Linked DNA regions of Cricetulus griseus. The protein of the gene in region 2 purifies or fractionates together with the protein of the main gene of each other region. This does not show direct contact. Links are inferred from orthologs where the notes say so. Each region holds a gene or a part of one and is shown on either strand. Other genes may lie near its edges. The genes, in order: Lin7c, Arhgef26 and Cask.

The links.
Region 1: the proteins of Arhgef26 (region 2) and Lin7c purify together in Homo sapiens (affinity purification with mass spectrometry; 3 studies listed by BioGRID and IntAct, counting the BioPlex papers as one, with this or other methods). This does not show direct contact. The link is inferred for Cricetulus griseus from reciprocal best matches to the Homo sapiens genes ARHGEF26 and LIN7C.
Region 3: the proteins of Arhgef26 (region 2) and Cask purify together in Homo sapiens (affinity purification with mass spectrometry; 3 studies listed by BioGRID and IntAct, with this or other methods). This does not show direct contact. The link is inferred for Cricetulus griseus from reciprocal best matches to the Homo sapiens genes ARHGEF26 and CASK.

Annotation. Positions count from the first base shown.
Region 1 is NC_048599.1:68,121,417-68,125,062, reverse strand, and holds part of Lin7c (protein lin-7 homolog C), read left to right. Parts: intron 1-302; coding exon 303-512; intron 513-1,470; coding exon 1,471-1,626; 3' UTR 1,627-3,646. UniProt on the Homo sapiens protein: Plays a role in establishing and maintaining the asymmetric distribution of channels and receptors at the plasma membrane of polarized cells.
Region 2 is NW_023276806.1:89,775,816-89,779,888, reverse strand, and holds the start of Arhgef26 (rho guanine nucleotide exchange factor 26), read left to right. Parts: upstream 1-1,213; coding exon 1,214-2,278; intron 2,279-3,142; coding exon 3,143-3,182; intron 3,183-4,073. UniProt on the Homo sapiens protein: Activates RhoG GTPase by promoting the exchange of GDP by GTP. Required for the formation of membrane ruffles during macropinocytosis. Required for the formation of cup-like structures during trans-endothelial migration of leukocytes.
Region 3 is NC_048604.1:119,409,636-119,413,767, reverse strand, and holds the start of Cask (peripheral plasma membrane protein CASK), read left to right. Parts: upstream 1-1,226; 5' UTR 1,227-1,360; coding exon 1,361-1,419; intron 1,420-4,132. UniProt on the Homo sapiens protein: Multidomain scaffolding Mg(2+)-independent protein kinase that catalyzes the phosphotransfer from ATP to proteins such as NRXN1, and plays a role in synaptic transmembrane protein anchoring and ion channel trafficking.

The DNA.
Region 1 (3,646 bases), on a different chromosome or scaffold from region 2:
GGCTTCCCCTCTTAGTATCTACACATCTGCAAGTCTTCTTGACCAGCCCTGTGCACATGTAGCACATATTTCTGAAGTTTACTTCCTACATCATCTCTGAGTATTTATCATCGTCATTTATCTTCTGCAAACATGTTTGACTTACAGTAAAGTTGTGAGAGCTCACAAATGAAAAGCTTTGTGGTTCAGAAGTGCCTTTGGCAAGCTAGAGATCACATTCTTAGCATATCTGAGTCCCTGGGTTCAAACCCCAGCTCCTCAAAAATAAGTTGTGTTCTTAGATGTGTGCATTTCTTTTCCAGGCTACTGTTGCTGCTTTTGCTGCCAGTGAAGGGCACTCCCATCCCCGAGTTGTTGAGTTACCCAAAACAGAAGAGGGCCTTGGATTCAATATCATGGGAGGCAAAGAACAAAACTCACCAATCTATATCTCACGGATAATTCCAGGTGGAATTGCTGACAGACATGGGGGTCTCAAACGAGGAGATCAGCTACTTTCTGTTAACGGAGTGGTAAAGATAAATCTGTTTACATTTGTTATATGCAGTAATGTGTTGTAGCCACTTGGGGGTGCACTGGAGCAATCGAATCAGAAAATGAAAGGGGAAAAACTTCTGAGACTGAGTTGAAATCCCTTGAGAGAAACCCAAGTGGTACTGCTCAGTACAGTGTTGTGTGGTTGTTTTGATTTGCTGGTGATAGTGGAGGTTGTTGTTGGGCTGAACACCAAACTCAGAATGCCAGGCTACCACTTGACCACTGAATTGCATCCCCAGCCCAGTACTTTAAGTGCGGCTGTAGATTAGCTTTCACAGACTGAATTGACAGCTGGGGAACCTGCATGGGACTGAACTAGACCCTCTGAATGTGGGTGACAGTTAATGTGGCATGATCTGTTTCGGGACTAGCCCTAGCAGTGGAACCAGGACCTATCCCAGGTGCATTAACTGGCTTTTTGGAACTCGTTCCTTATGGTGGGATAACAGGGAGGGGCTTGGTCCTTCCTCAACTTGGTCTGCACAGACTTTGTTGACTCCCCAAGGAAGGCCTTACCCTCTGAGGAGTTGATGAGGGGAAGAGCCGGAGAAGGGGAGGGAGGGAGAACTGGAGTTAGTATTTAAAATGAAAAACAAATTTAAAAAAAAAAAAAAAAAAAGGTGTGGCTGTAGAGCACTCCAGGGTATATCAGCAGTGCTCGGAGGAGCTAAAACTGTATAAATTAGAAATAAACCCGCATTTTACTCGTGAGGAATGGCAGTTACTTGATCTACTGCTGACCTAAGGTGTGTGTATATTCCTAGAATATGCACAAATGTGTATCATAGGATTTCAGATTAAAGTGATAAAATAAGATTGTTATTTTTATAGTGCTGAAATGATGTAACATTTAAAATTTTTACTTGTGTTTTAAACATTTTTACAGGTTGGATTACTTGTTAACTGTTTCTTTGTGTGTGTGCATTTTTTCAGAGTGTTGAAGGAGAGCATCATGAAAAAGCTGTAGAGCTACTGAAAGCAGCCCAAGGGAAGGTTAAATTAGTTGTACGGTATACACCAAAAGTCCTGGAAGAAATGGAATCACGCTTTGAAAAAATGAGATCAGCAAAACGCAGACAACAGACCTAATCATTTAAAAACTTTATGTTCCTCTTTGCTTTTAGCTAGAAAAGTTTTACTTGTGACCTACTGATGGCCTCGATGCCAGTGATTGTAAACCACCAGAAACTTCCGTGAAATCTTCTTGCCATTTTATAAATGCCTATTTTAGCATCACTTACGGTTGTAGAGAAGCATACACTTTTTTTCTCACGAGAAAAAGTAAAAGGTGATGAGGGCAGTTCTGTCCTGCTGTTTTTACAGGCCTTTTTCAAATGCAGATTTTGTCACAAAGTTGTTATAGATTTTTAAAAATGCTTTTTTAATATTAAAATGTACTTTTACATTCTTAATCTTTTTTTAAAAAGAGCTTTTCATCATTTGGCAACTTATTTACAAATAACAGTTCTCCAATATTTCCTTTTGCTTACTGCAATTTCTTTGTGAAATTTCTTTTCAATTTTCCAAAATATTAAAACTAGCAGTCTTTCCTTCAGCAGTTTATCACATTGAATGTTGGCATTGCTGCTGCATTTTGTACTTAGAACATACATAAATGTATCTGTAATCAGTGGTAAATCATTGCTATCATGGAACCTTTTTATCTTTATTTAAACAGTGTATAATGTATTCATTTATACTGATTTGTAAAAGTAAGTTTTTAAACACTGAAGCAATCATTGCTAAATAGGTATTCTTTCATAATATTTAAGCAGTGAATCAAGAGGATGTAATTTGATTATTAACATTACTGATTAAATCCCTTATTTATGTCATAAATTATAAATGCAAACAAGCTCAGATTTCAACTTTTCAAATTTGTTAGGCTATTCATTTATATTTAAATATATTTCTCATATTTCAGTTCTTCCATGCCTAGAGATGAGGTAGTTTGTGCTGAGAAAAATGAAAATAAGACAAAGTAATAACTTAAATGTGGAGCCTGAAGAGCCCAACATAATTAGTGTTCAGCTTCAGTTCTAATTCGAGACAGGAAGAGGAGGCAGGATTTGTTTAAGATACAGAAACAGGCAGCTTCTTAAGTCTCACAATGAGTGGGGTTCAGAATGCTTCTTATCTTTATGATTCAGATAGCGATGAGAGTCTGAACAATGCTTTTTACCATTTGTCCACTGGATGTCACTATTTTACTAAAAGGCAGCTATCGATGTGTGATTATGACTAAGTCTTATAAAAGCTGAAATCAAAGTTGATTCATTTTCAGTCACAGATTATAAGAACATTTATAAAAGGTTGAGGTGATGATGTTAAAAAACTGATGGGTTGAAATGCAGGAAATTATCATAATTATGACTTTATTACCTTTATTTTTTTAAAAAAAAAATGGGCATTTTGTAACATTCCTTCAGGAAGAATGGAAGTGTGTACACGGCTTTGCATGTTTGTGAGCACTGTCAGTCTTACAAAATATCTGTAGCTTTCAGTGGTTTTCAGAGTAAAAGTCAGCATTGTTATTTATCATTTAGGAATTGAACACTGGATTGTGCATGGTTGAATGTCTTTAGTCCACTACAAAATGTGCTTGATATTGATAGCATCATGTTGAATTGTATATTTTCAAAATTAGCTGATGTGTTTTTAAAATGTTGAGACCAAAGTAGTATAGAAGAGTATGACATATTTTAATTTAATTGTAAGATTATTAGAGGTATTTGTAAAACTCTATATATTAAAGTTGGTGCATATAGAACAGTAATATTATTGTTGTGCTCGTATCCCTACATCACAGGGCAAGTACACCCTGGGGTCTTGTCTCAGCCTAGCTACTATGGCTACAGTTGCTCCTCAGTACACATCAGCGTTCCGTTACAATTACAGCCTCCTGGTTCATGTTTCAGCGATTGCAGAATTTCAGCCAAGTTACATTTTTTTTTCTTTTTTTAGTTTGTTGAGTAAGCTTTTTCTTCTGCAGTAATTCACAATCTGTTCTTTGTGTGGGCTGCTACCTATTTATAATTCGTAAAATAAAAGTAACTTAAAGGAGCCAAATACATAGCTTTGCTTGGTACTATTGAGCATGAGTAGAAAT
Region 2 (4,073 bases):
CTCACTCCTTGTACTCTATTTTATTCTACACATTCATTTTCTGTTTATAGTACACGCAATTGCACATTCACATATTTTGTATTTTGTTTACTTTTACTGTGTAACTTTCAAACACACAAAGTCCAAAGATTACGAAATCAATTCCACCTGGCCTCAGAGCCAGTTTCCCTCTGAGTGCACACAAGTAAATCCGTCTATAGTCCACATGGCACTGTTAAGTAGGGGAGTGAGGCTCAATTTGAAGATCGCTAGGGGCCCAGCAGTACCCTCCGAAGTGGTTCACCTTTCCAAGAGTAGCGCCACGCTCCGACGTGATTTAATAACCATTCCAACCTCCTCCTCCCGGGCTCGGAGACCAGAAAGTACACCGTGGCAAAGCTCGCTCTCTCGATCCTTCCCACGCTGTGCTCCGTGCCGCGCCCGCGCCCTCCAGCTGGCCCCTGCGGCGGCCGCCTGCGCTCCTGCAACCCCGTACTTGCGTCTACGCACCCGGCTCAGGTGTGCGCGTCCTCTAGGCAGAGAGGTGAAGGCGGGGAGGTGGGTGGCAAGAGGGAACGATTCGCGGACTCCTCTCCGCAAGATTCCCGGGCGTACAGGGGGCGGGGCCAAGAGGGGCTGGCCCCAGCGTGGGGGCGGAGCCGGCGCCGCGGGCCGCTGCTGCGCCGTGCCGAGCTCTTTCCCCCGCGCTTTGGTGCGGACCCGGGCCACCCACGGGGCCGGGAGCATTCTTTGGTCTGCGCTCTGGACACCCGGAAGGGTGAGCGCGCCGTGAGCCGCGCAGCGGGGGCCCGGTAGAGTGGCGCGGAGCGGGCGGCTGGATGGAGGCACCGGGAAGCGTCCCGCGGCGAGCTGTGGGAGCCAGCTGAACTCTTCCCAAGTGTCCTGCGGGTCGGCTACCCTCTGTGAGTGGGTGGCAGGCTTTGTAGGGTACCGGCGGGCTTTGGGCGCGGGAAGGACGCAGGAAGGACCGGATTCAACCTATCGGCAGCAGCTCGGATCTCTGCCCGCGGTCGCGCAGTGTGGCGGGAGGCGCTGTGCCCGAGAAAGGGCGGGTAAGTGCGGCGCTGCCGAGTCCCGCGCGACACCCGTGTGACTGCCAAGCTGGGAGCCGGCTGGGCTCCCAGACGAGACCAGTTGTCCGGAGCCAAAGTTCCTTCCTCTTAGGCAACCTGAGCAGCTCTCCTTCTCCCGGGGCCGGCCCCAAGGCCCCGCCATGGACAGCGAAAGCGAGGTGGATTTTTCCAGCAACGGCGTCACCCCTTTGTGGCGGAGACGGTCCACCCCTCCTCTCCAGCTACTTGGCCGGAGCAAGCCTCGGCCACAGTCCTACCAGAGCCCCAGCGGACTGTTGATAACCGACTTCCCGGTGGAGGAACTGGCGGCTCTGCCCGTGCCGCAGACTCCCTCCCGTGTGTCCGCCGCCCCGGACGGCAGGATGGTTTCCAGGAGCCCCCAGCTTCTGTGCCCGCATCGGAGGCCGGTGACCAATGGTCGCTCGGTGTCCCCGGACTATAGAGCTGCTTCTCCTCGACTTCGACGACCCAAGTCACCCCTAGTTCTTCACGCGGCGTCGGGCGGCTCCCCGAAGCCCTCCGCTAATGGCACGGTGGCCTCGTCCGCGGCGCTGTTGGGCGCATCTCGGACTCCCGACGCTCCTGACCCGGAGGAGGATCGCACCGTCGTAACTGCCAGTAAGGTATCTTCTCCCATTGCCAATGGCCTTGTCCCTAAAAACGACTCACCTGGCTCAGCTTCACTAACTGGTCAGACGGCTAGGGACTTGGAGCCCGGGTCCTCGAGACTCTCCCCTGCACCCCAGCACAGGTCTTCAGAACAAAAACTGCCGCTCCAAAGGTTGCCCTCCCAAGGGAATGAGCTCCCGAACCCTTCCGTGGTTTTGAGTACCAACAGCCCCGCCGCCCTCAAGATGGGAAAGCAACAGATAATCCCGAAAAGCCTTGCCTCGGAAATTAAGCTGAGTAAATCCAATAGTCAAAATGTAGAGCCCCACAGGAGGCTCCTCAAGGTGCGCAGCATGGTGGAGGGACTGGGAGCACCCCTGGGCCACGAAGGGGAGGAAGGCGAAGTCGACAACGACTTGGACAGCCCGGGCTCTCTGCGGCGAGGCTTGCGGTCCACTTCTTACCGAAGGGCAGTGGTCAGCGGCTTTGACTTTGACAGCCCCACTAGCTCAAAGAAGAAGAACAGAATGTCCCAGCCTGTTCTGAAGGCAGTGATGGAAGACAAGGAGAAGTTCTCTAGCCTGGGAAGGATAAAGGTAGGACTGGGCAGACTCACTTGCCTTCATTAAACTCAAAGTGAACGTGTTTGGGACAAGTGTTGAATGATCATGGCACTTTTGACAACATTCTAGTAAAATGAGTTTAAATCAGTACCCAAGCCCTGGAACAGTACTCTGACTTCTGTTGTTTTGTTTTAGTCACCATGTTCCTTGTTTATAGCTGATTACTATTAATCATTGAGTGTATTTGACAGACTAGTAGCTTAGAACTTGAGTGAGGGTATGAGGTGATATATGCTGATAAAGGCCTAGCAGTTGCACTTATTGAATATTTTTTTCCATTTCGACCTAAAGGAAAAAAGACAACTAGACAGGGGTATTTTGGAGTAGGTGCCACTTTCTTAGACACAAGACATATCTAAGCATAGGGCAAAGCCTGCCTTTGGCAGTCACAATTTTTTTTTTGATTAATCAGAGAACTGGAACAAGTCTATATAAATGTCAAATATGCAATACACAAACAAACCTGTTTCATTTTAGACATATGGTCTTAAAGAAAAGACATAACATAACATTTTATGTACACCCCCCCCCCACACACACACACACTGACACAGCTGTCAAGGATAGCAAAGTTCAGTTTCACAGTGAGAGTGAATCAGGTAGTGAACTGTGTGGAAATGCTGGTCATTTGAGGATTCTTAGTCTGGTTTAAGGGCATGTGGGGGGTGCTGTGCATTTTATTTGACTGTTTGTGAATTGGCATGGGGATTCTCTGCGGTGTGCTTTTGGGAATCTGAGGGATATAACAAAAGGGCACGTTTACTTACAGGCTCATTCATACATAGTTTGCTTTTCTCCCCCCCCCTTTTTTTTTTTTTTGCTTTCCTCTTCTCTTAGAAAAAAATGCTGAAAGGACAAGGTACATTTGATGGGGAAGGTAAGCATTTAATTTTCCAGTTTTCCAATAAAACTGAAATTTATTGCAATTTCAATGTGACACATCAATTATAAGTTCAAAACTAACTGAAGTAACAAAGACACTTGAGATGAAAACACAGAATTGCCCAACTTTGTCTTGGACTCTACAGTGCAAAGCTGTGTTCACTAAGCTAAGGTTTTTACTCATGAGGGAGCATTTTTATAAGCTGATAACTTTTTCAGTTTACATCTTGGGAGCTTCATTCTTCTTTCTTCTTTGCCCTGGCTCCGTCCCCAGCTGCAGAGCAAGCTCTGGCTCTTTAATTGACACTTGGATCTTATGTGGTTTTTCCTTAGGCCACATTTTTTTTCTTCCTTAATATTATTTTCACCATATTTCCACCTTTGATTTTCACTTGTGACTTCCTGTTTTCCTACTAAGTTTCTCCTTTGGGGAAATGCAGCTTTTCTGGTGGAAAAAACAACAATCTTGAGAATTTGTGACTTGTATATTATTTGTTGTTAAGGATTTCAAAAGCACAAGCAGACTCAGCCAGGTGTTCACATGCTAATCAGATTAGTAGACTCTGTAAATAGATGGGTCAGGTGTCAGCCAACTGGAGCAGCATGAAGGGGCAGTCTCAGGCCTTCCCCTGAGACTCCTGGGGACAGTGAGTGGATTTACTTTCATGCTTTTACCTTTATGTAAAAGCATGAAAGCTTTCTACCTTTATGTGAAAATGAAGGAAAGTATGCCCCACTGTAAGAAAAGCTAAAGGAAAGCCATGTAGATTTAATATTTAATTTGGGTGATTGTAAAATAGTTCCTGCATAACTGCAAATGGGTAATCAATGAAGTCATTGTACTAATTGTAGAAAGTTTTGGAGAAGAAACCCAGATACAGTATTT
Region 3 (4,132 bases), on a different chromosome or scaffold from region 2:
TTGGGGCAGGAGGCAGGAGAAGCTGTTTCTCGAGTTCCCTGTTCGTTCTTGCACACCTTCCTCTGCAGTTTTTGTTTGGTCCTTTCCTTGGACAATTCTCCCCCTCCCCCACCCTCATCTTCATTAAGGAATGGCAGGGTGCCACTAAAAGCATCCGCCGCCAAGTGCCGTCCTGAGTGACAGTCTCTCTCCACCTCCTCTCTGGCTTTTCCATTCATTAGAACCCTTTCCCTGCGTTTTTTTTTTCCCAGCCCCAAACTGGGAAAGGCTTCCTGAGGTTACGAAAGAACGGGGAAAGCTGCCAAAGTGCTGAGCATGCTGTCCCAAAACGTGCATACTGCTGTGGACCCTTTGTCCCCAGCCCCCTTTCTCCACTTGGTCGCAGCTTGAGAATAGAGGCGACGACCTCCACCAGCCCCACCTCAGTAGCCGCAACCCGCGGAGCTCCGCCAGCCGACCCCCAGCGCCCTCTAGATTCCCCGCGCTTGCCGGTTCTCCGTGACGTTCCGGGCGCTGCGCGCATGCGCCACGGGGAGCGCTTTCCTCGCGCCCCCCCCCGCCTCCCCCCGTCCCCCGCCTCTTTCCGCGGTCCCCGCCTCCCAAAGGGCTGGAGTGGGCGGGGCCTGCGCTCCAGCAGCCGCGCGGGCCGAAAGGGAGGAGGCTTAGTGTGCGCGAGGCGGGTGCTCGGGGCTGGCAAGCCAGGCGGCAGCTGAAGCTTAGGGGAGGAGCTGAAGGCAGCGGTCGCCGCTCCCGCCCGCACTGAACACTCATCCCGCGAAGCCCCCTCCCACACTTGGGCGGGCGGCGGCGGCGGGAGGAGGAGGAGAAGGAGGAGGGAGCGTCTCTGCCGCCGCCTCCTGGTCCCCAGCGCCGATCAGCCGCCACCACCTCCCTTCGCGACGATCCTCCTTCCATGGTGCTGTCGCGGCCCCCCCTGTAGTCCGAGCTGCCCCGCGCCGCGCCGGAGTCGGTCTCGGGCAGAGGGAGCGGTCGCGGCCTCGCGGCCCGCGCGGGCTGACGAGCAGAGAGTGCGGCGCCTCGCGGGTCCCCGAGGGTCCGCACGCCCGGCAGCGCGGCGGCGAGCGACAGCGCCAAGAGCAGCGGGCGGGCGGGCGGCGCCGGGGCCCGGGCCGCCCTCGCTCCCACGCCCCGGCCCCGCCGCCCGCGCCGGGGCGGCAGCCGGCAGAGGAAAGGCGCTGCAGTCTCCGGGCCTCGCGGCCCCAGTTGAGCTTCCTCGGCACTGAGGGCTTGCGGGTCCGGTGGGGAGGACGCGAGCCCGGAACCCGGGCACTGAGCTCTTGGGCGCCCCCAACCCAGTTTTCAGAACCCTCCACGCTGCGGCCACTGTCCCCTTCGGACCATGGCCGACGACGACGTGCTGTTCGAGGATGTGTACGAGCTGTGCGAGGTGATCGGCAAGTGAGTCTCCACGCGAGGGAGCGGGAATGTGGAAAAATGCATTTCAGCGATGCCCGGGGCCTCCCGCACCCGCTCCGGGCCTGCCCCCTGCCCTCTTTCCCTCCCCTCTGCCTCCCTCGTCCTCTTCACCCTGGAGTATTTATAGACGTGTACCTGGATCTCCTGCCAGGAGAGGGTCTGGGGGCTTCTCAACGACCCGTGGAGGCCAACGAGCCCGGGTCGGCCACCCCATAAGGCGTGGGGCGGGCTCCCTGCATTTTATCTGACGGTTACACAGGGACGTGGCAGGACCGATTTTATAGTTGCTTCCTGGGAACAGTTGGGGTTATTGTTACCTTTCCTGTACCATAGACCTTTTCACGAAAAGAGCAGCCTGCATTTCGTGTGCGTGTGTGGAGAGAGCGAGGAGCGCGTCCAGGGTTTTTAATTGTGGGGTGTGTGTCTATTGTGCCAGGATATTAGACAGATGCCTTTGTGTTCACCCCGTGCCCGGATTTAAGAGGGTCATTGAAGACGGGTGCGTCCAGTTTCAGCAAATTCTTCACCTGCCTTAGACGAACGTAGAAAGAGTTAGGGGCACCCAAATTTTTAATGCCTCGTTATGCAATGACTGTACAATCAGTGCTCGAGGCTCCCTTCCACTGTTGTTGGGATGGTGGTTAGCGTGGTAGAGCCGTCTGCTTTGAGTCACCGGGCTGGTCTAGAATATAGAACTGACAGTCCAAATGCTCATCCTTTCATCTGTGTTGTATAATTACACTAGGGAAAAGAAGGGAATCAGATTAATCACAGTACTGATTGAGAATTAAATCTGCAGTTCCTCATCTAATTGTCCGGTCCTGAAATCTGTTTTGAATTGTTTCCTTTTCATTCTTGTCAAACAATATTCCAAGTGCACAATCCTGCTAATTTGCTTGTGAGGGAAATGCTGGCAATCTGAAGTTGATTTCCTAGCTCAGCGTGTATTCTGTGGCTTTGGAAGTTGAGATGAGATTTAAGAGCGATTTTTGCTTATTTAATAGGGCTCGTTAGATAGCTAGTATTGAAATATTTTCCCTCTTTTTGGAAGCGGTGCTTTATTGTCTATTTTAAGGTTCACAGTTGGGAAATGAAACCAAGACAGAGCAGTTGGCTCTACCTCTTTTAAGTTGTCTGCAGTATACTCAGTTTCAATTTTTTGAGTACTGATAACTCATTTTTTCCTCCATATTGAGGTATTACATTGCTGCTCACATGGTGAAATTGTGGGTAGAGCTTGCTACACTCTTTTCTTAGACCCAAATGCTTCGAGGACGCATTACTCCTTGCCCCATTGTTCAATGACCAGCCTGTCTGTTAGGAGGAAGATGTCCAAATGTGTCTGATAGAGTCGTGGTTGTGCCCTAGAGCAGCGCTGCCCAAAGCTATTTAATGAGAGCCACGTGTAATTTATAATTTTCTAGTAGCCACATTAGAAAGATTTAAAACAAAAAGGTACAATTAATTTTAATAAAATATTTATTTAATATATTACATCTGAATTAGTGATTTCAGCATGAATTTTTTGCAATACTGTGCATCTTTTCATACTAAGCCATTTAAATCCTATGTGTGTTTTATACTAACAGCACATCTCGATTTTGACGCTAAGCTAAATTTTCACCAGAAGTACTTGATCTGTATTTAGGTCTCATAAAATTTGCATGTGCAAAAGTAGATTCACATACTCAAGTTGTTCCAAACATACATAAAAGTTTTCCAGTAACGGAATTTGCTATTTCTAAATTTTAATCAATTAAGCAGAATGCAAAATTTACTGCCTCAGTTGGATTAGCCACATTTCAAGTGCTTAATAGCCACAGTCGACTACCACATTTCTAGAGAAAAATATAAAAAAATCTCCTTCACTTCTTCATTGTTGAGAGCACACAAAGAAGGTAAATTAGATGTTTCTCAAAACCACCCAAATGACCAGGTGTGAGTGAGTGATGTTTGTTGTATCTTAGTTATGGCTGTTGTAAGTGAGCCTGCAGTTGGAAAATGTGGGATTACGATGCTTTCATATATTATGATGTTGGAAAATAGCCATAACTGAATCAATAATGGTGACTGCTTCTGATTCCTTCAGGTCTAAAAGGATGACAGTGTGATCCCCTTGGATTTTGGAAAGTGGTCAGTCTCATGTTAGCAGTCTTTTTGCACTGACTTAAATTTGATAATATATTTTCAGAAGACACCCCTGGTAGAATTAAGTTTATCTATTCTGTTGTTTTGCAGCTACATAAGGAGGAAGAAAGAACGAGCTAATTTTGAGATGCTAGGTAGTCAGTGGCTGCCTGCACTTCTGTGAACTGTGAAATTTCATTCCTAGTCTACAAAATCTGACTTGGTGTCATTTATAAAATGCCATTTCTTGAAATAATGAATCCAAGATAGTCTCAGTGTTAAAGAATGTAATAATGGTGTTTTCCAGCCTGTGCAAAGGTTGAAGGTTTCTCCAGTAAATTGTGTCAGTATATATTGATCCTGAAACTGAAATTCGTTTGAGATATTTTTTTTTTTTGCAGGGACCTAGACAGCATACATTTAAACTAAGAATTTGTTCAGTTATGAGCTTAAACAGAAAGGCCTTGCAGATCATCATTCCTCCTGAAAATCTTTTTGTTGATTTCTATCCAGACTCTACAGAATTTTGGTTTTCTTTTGTATCAAATTAGTATCACAAATTGTGTTT